Linked DNA regions of Rattus norvegicus. The protein of the gene in region 1 interacts with the protein of each later gene in a pairwise test. Links are inferred from orthologs where the notes say so. Each region holds a gene or a part of one and is shown in the gene's direction. Other genes may lie near its edges.

Evidence for each region. The genes of interacting proteins can lie anywhere in the genome.
Region 2: the proteins of Nipbl (region 1) and Mau2 interact in binary tests that used the Homo sapiens proteins (3 or more experiments, as listed by UniProt). The link is inferred for Rattus norvegicus from reciprocal best matches to the Homo sapiens genes NIPBL and MAU2.

What each region holds. Positions count from the first base shown.
Region 1 is NC_086020.1:59,157,165-59,160,813, reverse strand, and holds part of Nipbl (nipped-B-like protein), read left to right. Parts: intron 1-278; coding exon 279-413; intron 414-3,032; coding exon 3,033-3,131; intron 3,132-3,649. UniProt on the Homo sapiens protein: Plays an important role in the loading of the cohesin complex on to DNA. Forms a heterodimeric complex (also known as cohesin loading complex) with MAU2/SCC4 which mediates the loading of the cohesin complex onto chromatin.
Region 2 is NC_086034.1:19,438,206-19,441,854, forward strand, and holds part of Mau2 (MAU2 chromatid cohesion factor homolog), read left to right. Parts: intron 1-238; coding exon 239-325; exon of another isoform or gene 326-378; intron 379-1,304; coding exon 1,305-1,354; intron 1,355-1,541; coding exon 1,542-1,619; intron 1,620-1,728; coding exon 1,729-1,840; intron 1,841-3,605; coding exon 3,606-3,649. UniProt on the Homo sapiens protein: Plays an important role in the loading of the cohesin complex on to DNA. Forms a heterodimeric complex (also known as cohesin loading complex) with NIPBL/SCC2 which mediates the loading of the cohesin complex onto chromatin.

The sequences.
Region 1 (3,649 bases):
GACTTAGCGTAAGCACTTGTTCTCTACATCACAGATGCTGCTTCGTATGCCTTGAAGTACCAGACACGGTTCTAAAAGTTTACCACCCCGGTTACTGCAGCAAACTTACCCTGTGGTCTCACACTCATTACTAAGTGTAGGTCCACAGGTTATAGGGTTTTTATAGGTTACATCACAGTTTCACTAACAGATAGGGGGGATAATGCTTGGGAAACATTGTTAACACTATTTTGTCAAATTTCGCACTCCTAACATTTGAAAATGCATTTTGTTCTTAGGATACTGGTATCAGTGTCAGGAAAAGAGTAATAAAGATTTTAAGAGACATCTGTATTGAACAACCAACATTTCCAAAAATTACAGAAATGTGTGTAAAGATGATTCGGAGAGTCAATGATGAAGAGGGCATTAAGGTAAGATGAAACTCTGATCATATGGGATTTCTTTTTTATTACTGTTAAAATTATTTAGGTGTTTATCGAATCTTTTTTATTTTGTTTCTAAATTTTATATTACTAAAATGTGGTCTTTTCCAACATATTCAACCATTACAATACTTATTTAACTGTAGTGACTGTATTTTATCCAAAATTATTACCAGATTGAAATTATCTTGATTTTTAAATAGAATGTTCTTGATTTTCAGTTACAGACTTGCCTACAGCCTGTAGGGCATTTTCTCATTTGAAGTTCCCTTCTCTCAGATGACCTTAGCTGGTTCTGGTTGACATAAAATTGTCCTGTATAACTGACCCCTTGTCAGCTTGACACACAAACAAATCACTACAAAGTCACAACTTTTCTTGTTCATCCTCAAGATCTAACATTAATATAAACATCATAATAGGAAACATTTTACAAACTTAAAAGTCCCACGGTATTACAAATTCAAACATGTTAAAGTCTTTTAAAGTAGAAAGTCTCTCAAGTATGGGCTACTATAAAATCAAAATTAAGTTAAAGACTTCTATTTCGAGAGGAAAAAATGAGGACACAGTGACAATCAGATAAATGTAAAACCATATTCCAACAGTGTAATCACTCAATGTCTGGTATTTAGGACTCACAATCTTCCAGACTCCTCCAAAGGGCCTGGGTCACTTCTCAGGTTCCACAGTCTGGGAACCACACAGCTTGTGTTCTTGACTCAGGCTGGGTCCACTCCACACACAGCTGCTGCTGTTTCTGACAGTCCTCCCGTGGTGTTGGCATCTTCAAAATGCAGGCATCTTCTATTGCACCTGGGCTCACTTTCACCAATAGGCTCTCTCCATGATGCAAAGCCTCAGCTTCTCTCCATGATCCCTTCAGTCCTGGGGCTTCCACTGCTACTCTGGCTACACCTTCACAAGTGGCCTCCCTTGGCTTCCTGTAGTGCCAAACCTCAGCTGCTCTCCATGACCCCTTTTTGCCTTCAAAACAAGTACCACCTGGGAGACATGACCAAGTTTGGGTGCTAGCACAAAGTTACAACCTTGGCTACCTCTGAATACAGCTTCTTTATGCTGACTCTGAGCAAACACTTAGCAAAAGATTTCACCTGAGTGGTGCTGGCCTCTGCTTATTAACCACCAGTTTGTCAGCTCCAAGTGACCAACATCAGTTGTCACAGTAAAGCAGTTTTTCGTTAGTGTTTCTTATGTTTTGTTACTCACAGCGTATTCTCCAGCCCTAGCTAACCAGAACCACAAATTCTTAGCTCAAAATAGCAAGCATCTCTGATAGAGTCATTAAGAAACCCTCAAATTCCTTTTGAAATTTCACAAGTCAGGCCTCCTTTTTCTGCATTGCTCCCAACATTCTACCAAGCTCCCATAGAACAGCTCACCAATGGTTTTTCTTGCCCAAAGTTCTACAGTCCTTCCACAATCTTCCCACAAAGAACATGGTCAGATCTATGACAACAGTGACCCACTCTGCTGGTACCAATTTCTGTCATAATTAGGGTTGCTATTGCCATGAAAAAATACCATGAGCAAAGGAACTTTGCAGTGAAGAGAGTTTGTTTGGCTTACCGTTCGCCTCACTGTTCAGCATTGGAAGAAATCAGGACAGGAACCCAAGCAGGGCAGGAACCTAGAGGCGGCGGCAGCTAATGCTTACTGGTACTGCTTACTGGCTTGCTCCATCTGGCTTGCCCAGTCTGCTTTCTTAGAGAACCCAGAACTGATTTTAATTGAGTTTTCTCTGCTCAAATAACTTTAGCTTCTGTTAAGTTGATCCCACACAAGTTCCTCCCTTTAAAGGAATAAAAGGGAGCTATGTAGATAGTGGGTAGGAGCAATTTTTTACAAGCATGAAAACCTGAGTTCATATCTCCAGCATCCACATAAAAAGCTGGATGCGGCTGCATGTGCCTTACCTCTAGCATTGGGCAGGTGGGGGCAGGCAGATTTCAAAGGCCTCTCTGGCTAGCCAACCCTACCAAAACCGCAAGCTTCCAGTTGAGTGGGAGATCCTGTCTCAAGACAGCTAGGTGGAAAGTGATAGAGGTTGACACCTGGATATCCTGTTGTCTCTTATGTGCATTCACGGATGCGCGCATGCGCGTGCGCACACAGCCGTAACAGTGGTTTTAGTCTGATCAAAAACAAGTCAGGGGCTGTGCTTGCTGGTCTTGCAGAGAGAGAACCCAGGTTCAGATTCCAGCGCCCACACAGGTGGCTCACAACCACCTGCACTCACTCCAGCCCTAACGGATCCAGCGCCTCCTCTGGCTCCTGCAGGCACTGCACACAGGTGACGCACATAACACATGCACACAACAGACACATTTTTTATTTTAAAAGTATTTTCTGCATAAGCTATAGGCTAAACATAGTTTTACTCATCCTCTATTTGAAATCTCAACCCATTAGACAGAATTTATAATTAGTGAAATCTGTTGTTTTAATCACAAGAAAATTTTTAATTAACTTAAACTTTTCTTTTTTAATAACTAGCTTTGTGTTGGGCTTTAATGGGAATTTACAATTAATTAAAAGTTTGCGATCTTTGTTAGTAATTGATTGGGTTTCTTTGTCTTCTTCTAGAAATTAGTAAATGAAACATTCCAGAAGCTCTGGTTTACTCCAACTCCACATAATGACAAAGAAGCAATGACAAGGAAAATTTTAAACATCACTGATGTGGTAAGAAGGTCGGACAAGGGTGTGGTCACTGTGAATGCAAGGCAGCTGATGCGTTGCCATGGTGACGTGCTGAGCCTGCCACTCAGTACTGCTTCCCTTGTATTTCTGGGACTTCTGGGGCTCAAGTAAAAGGGGAATGGTTCACATGGCTAATTTCTTGATACTCATGTCTATAAATAAGTATTAATATTGTTGTTTTCCTATTCTTTCATAATTGAAAACAGAAAAGAAAAACAAGAGAATCATTTTTTTAATTATACATAAATAAGCTATAATTTGCTGATCCAGAATGCTTCCTATTTGTTGAATATTAGCAGTTTTTATATATACTTAGTTGCATGGTTCTCCATTTTCACAGTACCAATAAATCTTCGATCTAGAGGGTGAAGAGACAAAACATTTTTTTCATTGTTTGAAACCTTACAGATTTTTCTAATAGAAAATGTCATGTTATTGTTTCTATAATTTGGTACTGTATCAGTTTTAATAGTAAACTGATTTCTTTAATGTTTTTCATA
Region 2 (3,649 bases), on another chromosome or scaffold:
GAGCCAGAAGAGTGGAGCCAGTCTGGACTGTGTAGACCAAGGCTGGTCATTGTCCACTGGTAGTCACTGGCATTGCCACTGCAGTGGAGGAGGGGGAGGGGCTAACTCCTTCGTGCTTGGGTTTGGAATGAGCTGACTGAGTCTGAAAGGAGCCCTTGTGCAATTCTGGGTCCAGTCAGGCCTCGACGGTGTAACCGTGGCCAGGCTGGGCTCCTAAATGCCCCATCTTTCATTCCAGCTCACCAACCACCAGGAGTTGTGGGCCTTCATCGTGACTAACCTTGCGAGTGTGTATATACGGGAAGGAAATAGACACCAAGAGGTAGTAGGTGACATGCTTCATGTTCGGTATCCTCCTCCATCTCCTGTGCGGGGGCTGTGGGTGTCCTAGGCACCCACAGACCTTAGAAAAGCCCAGATGTTTAGTGTTCTATGAGGGTTAGGACTGGGACAGCACTCCTGCAGCCATGTGGCTTTTGTCCCATCCTAAGCCACTCAACCTTTATTGACCCCACATTGTACCTAAAACAAACAAAAAATGTCGTAAGGTTGTCATGGTGCATGTCTTTAATCCAAGCACTCAGGAGGCAGAGGCAGGTGGATCTCTGGGTTCAAGACCATCCTGGTCCACAGAGCAAGTTCCAGAATGGTGAGGGCTATACAGAAACTCTGTCTCAAAAAAAAAAAAAAAAAAAGGACAGAAAAAATTGAGGAGTTTGCATCCAACTGGGGCTCTTGCTTGCTGCCAAGCGGTCTGCCACAGAGCCATACCTCAGCTCCAAATCAGATAGAAGAAAGTCTTGTGTGGGTAGGTTGGTCATCCTCACAGGGCTGACCAGATAAGCCAAGTGCTTTTACCTGGACTTTCTAGCCAAAGCCACAAGAATTAGGTTCTTCTCTGACCCTAGGATATCCCACCCTAAGTCCCTCCAGAGTGGCCCATATTCTCTGACCTCTGCAGCCTTCATTCTAACCATGGCCAATGTCCTCTCTCGTCTGTACAAACCGTGGCCAACTTTCCACATCTGGGCTGAGAGAAGCAGGAAGCCCAACCTCTGTCAACCTGGCTGTTAGGGAGCTGAAGCAGGATTCTTGGTTCATAAGGATAGTGTGTGTCCCAGTGTCCCCACTCTGCTCCTGTCTCCTACATAGTTCCCTCAGACACTCGGTCTTGAAGCTGTTCAGGGCAGGCATGCTGCACGTTATGATAGTCTTCCCGTGGAGTGGAAGAAGCCCTGTCCCCTGTAGCATGTTCAGGGCCTGGCCTCCTCTAGGTAGAGTCCTGACTGATGTTTCTCCACCAGCTGTACAGTTTGCTTGAGAGGATAAACCCAGACCACAGCTTCCCGGTCAGGTGAGCCTGCCTGTGTTCAGCACACACATTCTACTCCCTCATTGCTCTTGGGGTGGTGTATGTGCTTGCGGGCCCCAGACCTCACACATACTCAACACTGCTTGCATCCTAGCCTTTAGACAGTCTTCAGGGGCTGCCTTTGGGAAACTTTTCTCCCGTACCCAACTGAGACTCTGCTTCCTCGCAGCTCACACTGCCTCCGAGCAGCAGCCTTCTATGTACGAGGACTCTTCTCCTTCTTCCAGGGCCGCTACAACGAAGCCAAGTAAGTTTTGATCAGGGCACCATGTTTGATGGCCTCTCCTTCCTCAGTCTACCTCTGCTTCTCTAGGACTAATATGTCTGCGGGTATCAGCATCTGTCTCCTCTTACAGGAGATTTCTTCGAGAAACTCTAAAGATGTCGAATGCAGAGGACCTGAACCGCCTTACTGCCTGCTCCCTTGTGCTGCTGGGTCACATCTTCTATGTGCTGGGAAATCACAGGGTGAGTCCCTACCTAGCCGGTGCACAGGCTGGAGACCTAAGGAACACCACCACGGAAGGTGGCATTTCCTGTCCTGGAATCCAGGGTGTTAAAGGCACGAGGTCCTGGGGTTCCCCTCCTGGACATAGATGTCAGCCTCACAAGCCTCAGAACTAAGAGACAGCTGCCATGTTCCTGTAGGCTTCTCAACATACCATCCCTTGGGAATCCATGGCCCCATGAGACTGTCTCAGAACCTTAGACTAACAATGTCAAACCTTCCTGTGTCTGTGGCACCATCAACCATGTGGCTTCACAAGACTTCTTTACTTCAAATTATTGTCAAATGTATTGAGGGTAGCTTGGCTGTAGAGAGCAGGGAGTGACCTTTAGTATCCCCACTGCTGTGGCTTGCTGCTGGGGCATCTGCTTGGGCATTGGACAAGCCTGTTTACCCTGGGGCCTCTGGTGTGGTGTACTTCAGAGCACTTAGAGTAGCCGTGTGGGCCAGAAGTCTGCTTGTCTAACAGTGTTTCCCACTCCACGGCTTTCTGTAAAACACTCCCTTTGCCTGTATGAGCCTGGCTGGGGAGATAGCTGTGAGGTCAGGGCAGCCAAAGCGAGCCTGGTGGTTGAGCAGCAGGGACAGTTTGCTGAGCCAGGCCCTCGTGGGTACAATTATTGCAGCAGCCAGAGCCAGGTGGCCAGCAGAGATCTGACTCGTGAGGATCAGACCCTGTCCAGGCAGCTATAGAGCCAGCCCATACTTCTAGCCCCTCCTTGGGTCTGGAGGAGGGGGCAGCTCTTCTTGCCCACCGTGTCTGAAGTCTGAGAGGGACCCTACTCGGTTTGGTTGTAGCTGGTGGAGGTTAAGGTCTGAGTAACCCAGCTAAGCTGCATTTGGTCAGGTTGTTTTTCCATTAACCTGTGCCTAGAACTGGAATCTGGTTTGAGGCTTTTAAATTTTTGTTTTTGTTCATTTCTCCATTTGCTTATTTTATGTATGTGAATGTTTGGCTTGTGTGTATGATAAGCACCATGTGTGTGCCTGGTGTCCACAGAGGTCAGAGGCGGGGGTCAGATCAGATTCTCTGGTACAGGAATTAGACAATTGTGAGCTGTCATGTGGGTACTAAGAGCTGCACCTGAGTACTCTGCAAGAGCAGTGAGTACTCTCCACCTCTGTCACAGAAAGGACCCCAACCTGGGCCTGCAGTCTGGGAAGGTAGAACAGTTCAGCGGGGCCTGGTTTGGACTCAGAACTACCTAGGGTTCCTCAGTGTGAGGTCAGAAACAGAACACTGCACTCCAGGTCTCCCCTAGCCTCATCATGAGAACACTGGGCTTCTAGATCAGCAGCTCTGCACACACAGAGGGAGTCACAGGCCTAGAGACCCCATATCCCCACAGTAGCCTACAAAAGCCAGCTCAAAGGAGCAAATCTTCTGCACTCAGTCCTTTAGCTCCCTTCTCTTGAAGCCTAGGTTGGGACACCCGCATGAATGTATAGTTTATTAATCATTTCTAATTGTGGGGCCACAGCCCTCTTTTTCTCTAGCTGGCAAGAGGCATGTATGGCTCATTCATTGCCTCGTGTGCAAAGGGGAGCAAGAATGCTCAGTTTGTTTTTTCCAAGGTGAACAAGAGTACCTTAGAGGGCCGTTTTGGGTAGGCTCTGAGGGTGCAGTTCATGTTTGTCCAGGAGCAACAGAACATAAAATGGGCAGATGGAGTCAAAGATACTCTTCCATGACCTCACTGTTAATTCTTAGCTTTTGATTGGCAGGAGAGTAACAACATGGTGGTACCTGCCATGCAGCTGGCCAGCAA